Linked DNA regions of Coturnix japonica. The protein of the gene in region 1 interacts with the protein of each later gene in a biochemical or structural test. Links are inferred from orthologs where the notes say so. Each region holds a gene or a part of one and is shown in the gene's direction. Other genes may lie near its edges.

What was found. The genes of interacting proteins can lie anywhere in the genome.
Region 2: the proteins of SHC1 (region 1) and FLT4 form a complex in vitro, tested with the Homo sapiens proteins (2 studies listed by BioGRID). The link is inferred for Coturnix japonica from reciprocal best matches to the Homo sapiens genes SHC1 and FLT4.

What each region holds. Positions count from the first base shown.
Region 1 is NC_029540.1:1,436,106-1,441,884, forward strand, and holds the end of SHC1 (SHC-transforming protein 1), read left to right. Parts: 5' UTR 1-353; coding exon 354-956; intron 957-1,131; coding exon 1,132-1,202; intron 1,203-1,589; coding exon 1,590-1,653; intron 1,654-1,803; coding exon 1,804-1,923; intron 1,924-2,339; coding exon 2,340-2,393; intron 2,394-2,517; coding exon 2,518-2,569; intron 2,570-2,711; coding exon 2,712-2,838; intron 2,839-2,941; coding exon 2,942-3,110; intron 3,111-3,310; coding exon 3,311-3,371; intron 3,372-3,476; coding exon 3,477-3,644; intron 3,645-3,720; coding exon 3,721-3,983; intron 3,984-4,144; coding exon 4,145-4,273; 3' UTR 4,274-5,020; downstream 5,021-5,779. UniProt on the Homo sapiens protein: Signaling adapter that couples activated growth factor receptors to signaling pathways. Participates in a signaling cascade initiated by activated KIT and KITLG/SCF.
Region 2 is NC_029528.1:4,692,383-4,698,593, reverse strand, and holds part of FLT4 (vascular endothelial growth factor receptor 3), read left to right. Parts: intron 1-79; coding exon 80-211; intron 212-460; coding exon 461-567; intron 568-825; coding exon 826-961; intron 962-1,539; coding exon 1,540-1,644; intron 1,645-2,575; coding exon 2,576-2,689; intron 2,690-2,899; coding exon 2,900-2,988; intron 2,989-3,283; coding exon 3,284-3,431; intron 3,432-3,854; coding exon 3,855-3,949; intron 3,950-4,381; coding exon 4,382-4,504; intron 4,505-4,807; coding exon 4,808-4,919; intron 4,920-5,285; coding exon 5,286-5,385; intron 5,386-5,826; coding exon 5,827-5,932; intron 5,933-6,211. UniProt on the Homo sapiens protein: Tyrosine-protein kinase that acts as a cell-surface receptor for VEGFC and VEGFD, and plays an essential role in adult lymphangiogenesis and in the development of the vascular network and the cardiovascular system during embryonic development.

The sequences.
Region 1 (5,779 bases):
CGGTTTGGGACTCGTTTATGGGGCAAAAGGGGCCATGCTGAGCCCCTGCTGAAGACAATGGGATTCGTCGTGGGTGCAGAGAGGGGCAGTGGGGCTTGAGGACCTCCCAGCTGTGTGCTGGGTGTGCTGAGACCCCCCCATCACCGGGTGCACCGGGAGCGGGGCTTGCTGCCCATCTATCCGGATCGCTGACGCTGGTTGCTATCGATCTGCTGGGACTGCGTGGAGCTGGTTCTCCTCGTGAGCCATGAGGGGCTGGAGGGTGCCTGGCATGGAGTTCAACCTTAACCTGTACATGGGGGAGGACTCCAGGAGGCTGTAGGCGCTCTATGGGGTTGCTGTGAGGGGTGGGCATGCTCCAGCCCTTCTCTCCTCTTTCCACAATGGATCTCCTGCAGAAGAGCAAATACAGCCACCTGCGGAACGAGTCTGTCTCCTCCCTGGAGGAGGCTGTGGGAGCCTTGGGGACCCCAGTGTCCCCTGTGGAATCCCTTGAAGGCATTCGGTCACTGCCTGGCTCGCTGTCATCCTCCTCCCTCAGCCCCATGCTGCCTCTCGGGGAGCTCTCATCCGAATCTGAGGACAGCCCCACCACCCTCTGCTCTTTCTTCCCTAAAATGGCCAACCTGAAGCTCTCCAACCCCGCCAACCTGCTCAGCCTACGGGGCTCATCGACCGGCAGCCTTAAAGATACTGGGAGCTCAGGGCAACCCGTCCTAACCGGGACGCTCACACCGACACCAGGGGGAACAGCCAGCACTAACTCAGTAGGACCTGTCACTGTCTGTTCCCAGGATATGAACAAGCTGAGCTGTGCGAAGAGGACGCGGGTGGAAGGCGGCCAGCTGGGTGGTGATGAATGGACCCGCCACGGCAGCTTTGTCAATAAGCCCACGCGGGGCTGGCTGCACCCAGATGATAAAGTCATGGGGCCTGGGGTCTCCTACCATGTCAGGGTGAGTGCTGGGGTGTCTCTATGGGGTGGGAGTGGGCTTTGGGGGGGGGCTCGTTGTGGGTGGAGGTGAACAGCACAGTGTGGGGACCTGTCCCCTCTTTGCTTATGGGCTGCCATGGGGAGGTGGGGGAGTCAAAGCGAGCCAAGCCCGATGCTGACCCTGCTCTCCTCCATAGTACATGGGCTGCGTAGAAGTCCTTCAGTCCATGAGGGCTTTGGATTTCAACACAAGGACTCAGGTCACCAGGTGAGCCCTGGGGTTGTGTTGGGGGCTTGGGGCTGCCCAGGGTGGGTGTGGAAGTGGAACCAGGCTGTCTGCAGCCATGGAGGAAACTGCCAGGAGATCGATGAGCCTGTCAATGAGCTCGGTCAGGCAGGAAGCACTCCTGCAGCTGCATCAAATATTAACAGCTCGCTCTTCCCCTGTCCCTGCCGGGTCTGGGAATCAGCCTGCACTGCCTGAGGGCTTCCCTTTTGTTCCATGCTTAACCCTGTCCCTTCTGCACTGCTCCTCGTGTCCTCTGCCCAGCGGTGCCCCATAAATATGGCATTGATAGCAGAGCTTTGTCCCTGTGCTGATGCAGGAGGGGACAACAGGGACCCCCAGGCTGACGCTTTGCTTTGCTCCATGCAGGGAGGCCATTGGCCTGGTGTGTGAGGCTGTACCTGGTGCCAAGGGAGCAGTGAGGAGGAGGAAGGTGAGGCTGGACTTGGGAAGCTGCTGATGGGAGCAATTTGAGGGCTGGATCTCAACCCAGCCAGCAGTGCTTAGGGGCTCTGATTGCCCCCATGGCTCAGCATGGAGTGGTGGTGGTGATGAGTTGCCTAATGCTGCTGTTCTCCCCCAGCCCTGTGGCCGCTCTCTGAACTCCATCCTGGGCAAGAGCAACCTGAAGTTCGCCGGCATGCCCATCACCCTGACCATCTCCACCAGCAGCCTCAACCTCATGGCCTCTGACTGTAAGCAGGTGAGAGAGGGAAGCTGCTGTGGGCTGCACTGCTGCCTTCAAACAAGCAGAGATCCATGCATCCCCTTCAGGCCCTGCTGGGGGTGTTCCCATTCTCCCTGGGGATGTGTGGTTTATCTGTGTTTCCTGCTGAGTGCTCATCTCCTGGTCCAGCATGTTCCACCCCATCCATTCCTGGTAGCAAAGGGATCTGAGCAATGCCCTGAATGCCTTGTGGGATCTGTGCTCTGGACCTTGAGACCCAAGTCCCTCAGCCTTGGATGTCTTTTAGTCTCAGTAGCTCTGCTGGTGTCTCAGCCCTTCCTCTGGTTGCCTATGGCTCATAACCAGGGCTCCTGAAGTTTGTTATCCCCACACTGGGCCAGTGCTAGGGTGGGCACTGAGGAGCTGCACCTAACAGTGCTTCTACCTTTCAGATCATTGCCAACCATCACATGCAGTCCATCTCCTTCGCTTCTGGGGGTGACCCGGTGAGTTACAGAGGTTCCCCAACCAGCACATCCTACCCTGTGCTGGGGATCAGAGCCTCTCCTGCCTTCTCCCCTAAGTCTTGGGCACTGAGCAGCCCTGGCTCATCACCACTCTCTCCCACAGGACACAGCTGAGTACGTCGCCTACGTTGCCAAAGACCCCGTCAACCAGAGAGGTGAGGCTGGAATTGCAAGAGCCCCATTTTGGGTGCAGCTCAGAGAGGGATTGGGTCCCTGCAGGGAATCTCTGGGGTGCACAGGGTGGGATCAGGGGGTGTAGGATTTAATCCTGCTCTCATCTCGCTGTTCCCTTCCCAGCCTGCCATATCCTGGAGTGCCCTGAGGGCTTGGCCCAGGATGTGATCAGCACAATTGGACAAGCCTTTGAGCTGCGCTTCAAGCAGTACCTAAAGAACCCCCCGAAGCTGGTGACACCCCACGACAGGTAAGAGAAGGGAGAGATGGGGGTCCATGAGGTCTATTGGTGCTGGGAGGGGATGCAGGCCTGGCTGCTGTCAGCTGTTCAGCTGTGTGTTGTTCCCTTCCAGGATGGCAGGGTTTGATGGTTCAGCCTGGGATGAGGAAGAGGAGGAGCCTGCCCCAGATCACCAGTACTACAACGACTTCCCTGGCAAGGAGCCTCCTATAGGGGGGGTCGTGGACATGCGGCTGCGGGATGGAGCTGCGCAGACCCCCAATCACCTGGGGGCCACACTGGTAAGGCGCTGAGCGTGTCTGCAAGGGGCTGCTGGGGAGGTTCTGCTATATAGGGGAGATGCAAGGACCCCAATGGGGCTGTGGGCTGCACAAAATCCACACCACGCTTCTGTCCAGCACCTCTGGCAGTCCATACTGGGGTTTGGGGAGGGGTAAGAGTACAGCAAGGTCTTTTGGTCTCACCATGTGCCTCTCTACAGCCTGTTGGCCAGACGTCTGGTGGGGAATTTGACCCCAGGAAGCAGCACGGTCCCGCTCAAGGTAATGTGATGGATGTGGCTGGTCCCCATAGGCTTTCCTGGTCCCAAAGTGCTCCAGCAATAAGTGCTGGTGCCGGAGCGCTGCTGACCACAGCGCTTTGTGCAGCAGGAAGAGAGAAATACCCACCTGCAGCGGGTGCGTCCGGCCGTACGGACCTATTTGATGACCCATCTTATGTGAACGTGCAGAACGTGGACAAGACACGCCAAGCAGCAGCTGCAGGCAGCCCTGCAACAGCCAACGGCAGCGCCCAGCGAGACCTCTTCGACATGAGTGAGTGGGGACAGCAGCTGCAGGCTGTGCACTCTGTGCTGGGTGTGTGATGGAGCCCCTTCCTTTTCTCCTGCAGAGCCATTTGAAGATGCCCTTCGTGCCCCCCAGTCTGTGCCCGTGACCGTTCCTCCTGCCCAAGTTGTGGCCTCCATGGAGGAGCAGCTGAGGAGGGAACCGTGGTATCACAGGAAGATGAACCGCAAAGAGGCTGAGAAACTGCTGAAGGTGAATGGAGATTTCCTGGTGAGGGACAGCATCACCACCCCGGGGCAGTACGTGCTGACCGGCCTGCAGGGTGGGCAGCCCAAGCACCTGCTGCTCGTCGACCCCGAAGGAGTGGTGAGTCTCTATAACCCCAAAGCTTGGGGGGCCCTACATCTCCCCACAACCCCACCTTGGGGACACCTCCGGGCTGGCTTAGGGGATGGAGGAGGCCTGGTAAAGCATAGAGGGGACTCCTGGGTGTATCTGCAGCCTCTTGAGTTCCCTATTCCCTGCAGGTCCGGACAAAAGATCATCGTTTTGAGAGCGTCAGCCACCTCATCAGCTACCATATGGACAATCACCTGCCCATCATCTCAGCTGGCAGCGAGATGTGCCTGCAGCAGCCAGTGGAAAGGAGACTGTGAGCTCCAGGGGGGCCTCGGTGCGCACCCCCCCACACCCCCCAGCCCTGCTTCCCACCCTGGGGAGCACCTGGACTCAGCCGGGGCTGAGCGTGGACTGCCTTGGGGATGGTCCTCACCCTCCCACCACCACCACACGAAGCTGGCAGCCCTGGGCTGCAGGCAGCGTGGTGTGAGCTGCCTGTGGGGCCGGGGGGCTGGTAGTGCCAAAGCCCCCTCCTCTCCTCCCAGCTCCAGCCTTTTGCTCAGCTCATACCAAATCCCGGCCCCATACGGTGTCAGCACTGGGGGGCACCAGCCCAGGGCCGGGTTCTGCTCCAGCCTGGTTGGAACTGGGGGTGGCCAGGCTTCATCCCATGAGCAGCACCAGCCCCGAGGGGTTGGGGTGGGGGGGATGGAGTGGGGGGGGCTCACCCAGGGCTGTGCCCTGCGCTCTGCTCCCCAAGCACAAACAAGGCCCGGCCGGCCGCGCACCGAATGTACCCGATCACTTTATGTGTAACTGTGCCTTGACCCCGCAGGTCCCACACATATATGCAATGCAGCCGGGCTGGGGTGGGGGGGCTGCCAGCTCCTTCATGCCCTCCAGGTCCTGCCAAGCCCCTTCTCGGGCACCTCCCTTAAAGCCGGAGCTGGCCGGGTCCCCACTGCATGCACCTCGACCCCCCCCCGAAGCCAAAGCGCAGCCCAGCCCCGGCCCCGCTATAACCAAAGGATCCGGCGGTTCGTATTAAAGTTGGTATTTCTTTACGATGCGGCTGCTGTGTTGGGGAAGGGGCGGGTTGAGAACCTAAGGGGGTGGCGGCCGGGACCCCTCCCCCCTGAGCCCCCTCCCCATGGTTCCTCCCTCCCCCCTGAGCCCCCCTAACGTGGTTTCTTCCTTCCTCCCCCCTGGTCCCGCCTCCCCCTGGTTCCTCCCCCTCGTCCAGAGCCCCCTCCCAAATGGTTTCTCCAGCCTGAGCCCTCCCTGCCCATGGTTTCCTCCCCCCAGAGCCCTCCTCCCTCGGTTCCTCCCCCCCCGACCCCCCCCCGACCCCCTTCATAGGTTCCTCCTACCCCCCTGACCCCGTCCCATTGGTTCCCTCCTCCCCCACCCCCAACTGTGGTTTTCTTTTCCTCCCTCCTCTCCTGAGACAGCCTCCCTATGGTTTTCCTCCCCCCTAAGACACTAACGTGGTTCTTCCCGCCCCCCCCCTCTAAAAGTGGTTTCTTCCTCTCTGCCCCCCGAGGCGCCTCCCATGTTCCTCCTCCACCCCTGAACCCCTCGGTGGGTTCATCCCCCTGAGCCCCTCCCCTGGTCCCTTCCCCCCCCCCGAGCCCCCTCCCATCTGGTTCTCCCTCCCCCCTGAGCCCGCTCCCATGGTTCCTTCCTTTTTCCTCCCCACCGACGCACCCTAACGTGTTTCTTCCTTCCTCCCCCCTAAGCCCCCTTCCACATGGTTCTCCCCCCCTGAACCCCTAACGTGGTTTCTACCCCCCCGCCCTAACTGTGGTTCCTTCTCCCCGATA
Region 2 (6,211 bases), on another chromosome or scaffold:
AGAAGCCTTATTTTTTGCCTGAACGAGTTAAATCCCCTTTCCTTATTGAATGACCTCCATAACCTTCCTTGCCTTACAGGAATTGATCTGGCAGACTTCAACCAGAGGCTGAGCATTCAGAGAGTGAGGGAGGAGGATGCTGGGCTCTACCTGTGCAGCGTCTGCAACGCTAAGGGCTGCGTGAACTCCTCAGCTAGCGTCTCTGTAGAAGGTACCAGCAGACACAACACACCCTAGGGATGAGAGCATCCAAGTAGGGGTGTGTCAGAGGTCCCGTGCCTCTTCCCTGTGATGCCAGGCTGCAGGGTGGCAGGGAAAGCACTGAGAGCATCTGTAGTCCAGAGCATAATTTGATTGGAGCATGTCAACACACAGCTCCTTGGTCTCCCCACATCATGGAGCAGATCCCAAGAAACAGCCAAGCCTTTTCTCAAACTGCACTTTTCCCCCCACCCCACAGGCTCTGATGACAAGACCAACGTGGAGATTGTCATCCTGATTGGGACTGGGGTCATCGCTGTTTTCTTCTGGATCCTCCTTATCCTCATCTTCTGTAACATCAAAAGGGTACGTGGTTGTCTTCATTCTGGGGAAGAAGAGGGGGCTCAGATGGGCTTGGGGCAGCCCCATTGCTGTGGTGTGGGGCTATGTGACAGTGTCTGCTGAAAGAAGGTCGCTGAGTAGTGCTCCAAGCACCCTGACTGTCAACCAAGGATGGGGCACGTAGTAAAGATGGGGACATGGAACAGCCTTTGCCAGGGGAAAGCGGGTTGAAGGAGGCAAAGGAGGCATCTTCTCATGCACTGTGTTGGGTGATTCCTGCAGCCTGCCCATGCAGACATCAAGACCGGCTACCTGTCCATCATCATGGATCCTGACGAAGTGCCCTTAGATGAGCACTGCGAGCGCCTGCCCTATGATGCCAGCAAGTGGGAATTCCCACGAGACCGCCTGCGCCTGGGTGAGCTGAACCCCATCCCTGCCCCCACGTGCTGCATGCAGAGCTTCCCACCAGCCCCTGGAACTCACCCTCCAGATTTCTTACACAATCAGGGCAAAACAGCCCAATTCATAGGAGATATCCTGAGTTCAGGACTGGGATAGGATGTCCTCGTGCTGTGACATCCATCTGCAATCTCTTCCCTCTGTCTGGGAGAGGTGTAAGGGCTGCAGACCTCCTCTGAGACACAGAGCAGTGACATTAGCCCTGTCTGTTCTGCTGCAAGGTGTCTTATTTACCTTTTCCACTTGTTCTGTTTGAGGGCAACAAACAGCCTCTCACCACATTAGGACCATTTCCTTCCTCCACTTTGTCCATGCCAGCTCTCAGTTCCTCCCTTCATCCTTTCTCTTATTCTCACCTCTAAAGCAAGCAGCCACCTGGGAAGGGCAAATATTGCACTCCTTCCTTTTCCTTTATGACTCTTTTTCTTTCTTCTTTCCATGTTTTCCTGTAAGGTTTTTTGTGTTGTTGTTTTTTAGCCTCATTCTCCATCCTGCACCTGCTTTCCTTTACGGTGCCTCTCTCTTTGCTCATAGGTAAAGTCCTGGGTCACGGTGCTTTTGGGAAGGTGGTGGAAGCATCTGCTTTTGGGATCAATAAAAGCAACAGCTGTGAGACCGTAGCAGTCAAAATGCTGAAAGGTATGAGGACAGCCTCGTAGAATATGCAGTTCACATGGATACAAAGGATGACAGGGAAAGCCTGCCTTGTAATCATCCTGTAATTCAGTAACCAAGAAAACATTATGGCAGTTCATGGTCAGCAGTGGCCTGTATATAGAAACTGAATCATGGTGTGGCTCAGCAGCACTGACACTGCAGGTGTACAGACGATCTGCAGATCAGTAGCAGAGGGAAGCCTGGCTGTATGAGGCTGTTTTACAGCTCTTTGATGCATGACTCTTACCTGGCCCTTCAGCTGCAGCTCAGGAAGATGCTTCTCTCTTTGTCAAACTAAATGTGCAAACTCCCAAGTAAAATGTATACAGGAAGGCATGAAAAAATGCACATAAAACCAGAGAATGAACCTTGAGGGTAAAACAGAGGAGCAAGAATTGGTGTGAATTAAACACTCAGGGAGAAAAGGCAGCAGAGAGCTGGCAGGAGCACAACCCTGTGCTTGCTATTGGAAAGGAATTATCAAAAGGCCTTCTCAAAAGGTTGGAGTTGAGGCAGTCCTGCCTTCAGTCACGATCAAAAGCCTTTTTGTTTCTAATTTCCCTTCAAACGGTTTTACAGCTCATTATCCCTGCTTGGAGGCTAAAAGGGCAGAGATTCAAACGTGTGCATCTGTATGTAAGCCTCAAGTGATCTTTTTCTCTGCACGGCTATCAGAAGGAAAATTGTGTTGGACACAGGTTGTGTTCTTGCTTTGGATCCTTGCTCCTGCATTACAGCATTAAAGACAAGGCTCTGCTATTCAATTTGGAAATAAGCAGTAACAAAATGTAGGAAGGCTTTGGGATTGCAATCTCCAACAAGACTGACATTATCACTGTGCTAGGAGAGAGTGGCAGGGGGAGAGAAAAAGCTGTGAGGAGGCATCACCGTGATGTGGTTTGTTTGTTTCCAGAGGGAGCTACTGCAAGTGAACAGAAGGCACTGATGTCAGAGCTGAAAATCCTCATTCACATTGGGCATCATCTCAATGTTGTGAATTTGCTGGGAGCCTGTACCAAACCCAATGGTAAATATCACAGGGCAACAGGCTGAGCCTGCTCCCAGATATCACTGCTCATCCCCTGTGCCATTTCTTCTGGCCATATATGTGACTGTGGGGATACGTGGGGGTGTGTGTGCCTAGCCCTGGTGCCACTGCTCAGCAAGGCTGATATAATGTGAATCAGGGCAAATTGTGGCTATTGCAGATCCTTGTCTCTTCCCCTGCTCTCATTAGGTCCACTCATGGTTATCGTTGAGTTCTGCAAGTATGGCAACCTCTCCAATTACCTGCGGACCAAGCGAGAAGGATTCAGTCCCTACAGGGTAAGTAACCTCCTTTATCCCTAGGAACTGCCCCATGGATAGGGGGGGAAGACATGCATTCAGAAACATAATCTAACAATGAGGGAAAGACAGCCTCTGTCTGGCAGTATGTCAGTTTTTCACAGAGATGCTGGTTCACTGCAGCATCAGGGAAGAAATTTCTTTCTGCGGAGGAGGATAAATGCTTCCAGGCCAGAATTACAGTCTAAGAGCAGGACATGACTGTGCAGCTCATGGGTGCAGGGGATGCTGTGTGTGTTGCCTGCTGAGGTTTTTGCTTTTATCTTCTTGCCAGGAGAAGTCACCCAGGCTGCGTATTCAGGTCCAGTCCATTGTGGAGGCAGTGAGAGCAGACAGAAGGAGTCGGTCTGGGACTAGTGACAGTGCTCTCTTCAACCGCTTTCTGATGCACAAGAGCCAGACAGCACAGCCAATCCAGGAAGGTAATACCTCACCTGGCTTGCCAAGAAAATGACAGACTTGCTTAAACTGGAGAATGGGCTACAGCATGGCAGTGGGCAGCAGGGACCCATCCACAGAGCTCATCTCTCCACTGCTGTGTGGCAATTCCCTCAACAGGGCTATTGTATTAATCTCCTGTCTCTTGTAATGGACTTCAGAAACCCTAAAGGAATGGTTAAATTAATTTAGATTTATTTTTTGGCTTAAAGAAAGATGAACAGAAGGGGTTTCTCAGTGGGTCCTCCCTTGGCAGGAATGATGATCTGACCTTCAGAGTCCCTTATAGCCATACAGGACTATCTAGTATCTCACCCTGGGGCTGTATGTATCCTGCAGTTCTAGAGAGCAGCAAGTGGGACACAAGACAACTCAATGTCTAACCATGTTTTTGTACCCCTGGACAGTGGATGACTTGTGGCAAAGTCCCTTGACAATGGAGGACCTGATCTGCTACAGCTTCCAGGTAGCAAGTGGCATGGAGTTCCTCTCCTCCAGAAAGGTGAGCACACACCTTCCCATCCTCTATTCTTCTTTTGTGCATGCCTGACTGGAGATGGCCTGGTGTGGTCTGTTGTAATCACAGATCATGTGTGTATGTATGTACAGGTTCCCATGGACAGCCAGTCTCTTTGACTGGCTGTTTCCAGTTTCACGTCCCAGTTTGTGAAATCATTTTATGATTTATTACTACAAAACCCTGCACACAGCTGGGTTACAGACATACAAAGGTGGGAACTTGGCTGTATTGCATTCTGTCAACCCCTTATTTATCTCCTTTAAAAATCTTTATTTTTAGTTCCTTCTCACCTCCCCAGTTCTCCTATTACAGCTCGGGTTAGCAAGGGAAGAATAAGGGAAGGGAATGCTCTGCACTTTATGATGGCAGTTCCTGTCCCTCTGATTTTGCTTCTTCCTCTTCATGTGCCTTCAGTGCATCCACAGAGATCTAGCAGCTCGCAACATCCTGCTGTCTGAGAACAATGTGGTCAAGATCTGTGATTTTGGCTTGGCCCGAGACATCTACAAAGACCCTGATTATGTCAGAAAAGGCAGTGTGAGTACCATCTTGGGGATGGACTAAACTAAGGAAGATAGAAAAAGGCAGGAGTGGAATCATTTGTGGCTGGGACCAGGAACCATTGGCCTGATGATGGAGGTGCAGTCTTCCATCACCACCAGATTTGTCTCCTTCCTTCTGCTGCTCAGCCCATCAGCACTCCTCTATCTTTATACTCTTCCAGTGTCTTCATCCCTCCTTCTGGCTTCACCAAACCTCCACTCCTCCATGGAGGAAGGATCAGGGCTATTGTCTCTGGTTCTTGAATGAACAGTTCTGCATTGCCTCTCCTTCCTGCAGGCCCGTCTCCCACTGAAGTGGATGGCTCCAGAGAGCATCTTTGACAAGGTTTACACTACCCAGAGTGACGTCTGGTCCTTTGGGGTCCTCCTCTGGGAAATCTTCTCACTGGGTGAGTGCTGAGGGGCACGTGCTGCTGAGGCAGGAGGGGCTTTTGTCCCACCTAGCAGCTCGGTGGATGAATCTGTGCATGAGGCCCTTGTCTCTGCAGCATGTCTGAGGAGTGATGGGAAAGACGTCAGTCTGGGCAAAAGAAATACAGAGGCCATATCCACCAAGGAACAGGGTGATGGGGGGCAGCTTCTTCCTTACTGAGGCAGAAGAACCTGTCTTGGTCAGAACTGATGTGGGCTGTGCATCAGAAGTGACCACACATCCCATGTGTTTTAGGAGGAAGTCCTTGTCTCAGGATAAGAATTGTTTTCTGATGGCACACTTCATCTTCTCACTTCCTCACCCTTTTTCAAACCTCTTTTAGGGGCATCTCCATACCCTGGAGTCCAGATCAACGAGGAGTTCTGCCAGAGGCTCAAAGACGGTACCAGGATGAGAGCTCCAGAGTATGCTACTGCAGAAATGTGAGTCAGAAACATCATGGATTCAGGGCAGGGCAGGCAGATGCAGAGACTGTTCATCCACTATTGGGAAGAGACAACCTCTCCTCTCTTGGTGGCTGCCTGGAGGGTATTCCAGATGGGTTCAAATGCAGGACAGATCTATGGCCACCAAATTTTGTGCAGAACCACGTTGGGATGACTTTGCAGATGGATAATGTGCTTTCCCACTCTTGAGAGTAGCTGAGGTGTCTAAATTGGCTCTGTCTGAGCTTGCAGTTGTATTCAATACACAATGAACCTCCTTCTAGTAGGTCCACAGGGCCCATGTTCAATTTGCTGGGTACCAAGGTTTTCTTCACAGCGCAGGTACACTCTGTTCCAGCAGAAACCACGTGGGTTAAAGCTGTAGAGTGTAGTAGAAAGGGATTTCTGTGACATAAAACCATCACCTCTCCTTGGCAGTTACCGTATAATGCTGAGCTGCTGGCATGGTGATCCCAAGGAGAGACCAACTTTCTCAGACCTGGTGGAGATACTGGGGAACCTCCTTCAGGAAAATGTCCAACAGGTAAAAACCCTTCTGTGTCCCTGCTCGGTTTTGAACAGCCAGCTCAATGTGTCCTCCTCTGACTCCCTAGCCAATCAAAGCCTTTGTGAAGGCCATGGGTTAACACTGTGTCTCCAGGTCTGTCATTCAGGGGTACTGGAGACAAGAGCTCTGCAGTAGCCTTCTTGTTGCATCCTATTATAGTTCCAGTCCTTGCAAAGCAAGTGTCCTCTCAGTCGTCATTCTGGTATTTCCATCCTAATCTCCAGATGATTATTGGAAATGTTTCAGCTGACTCAA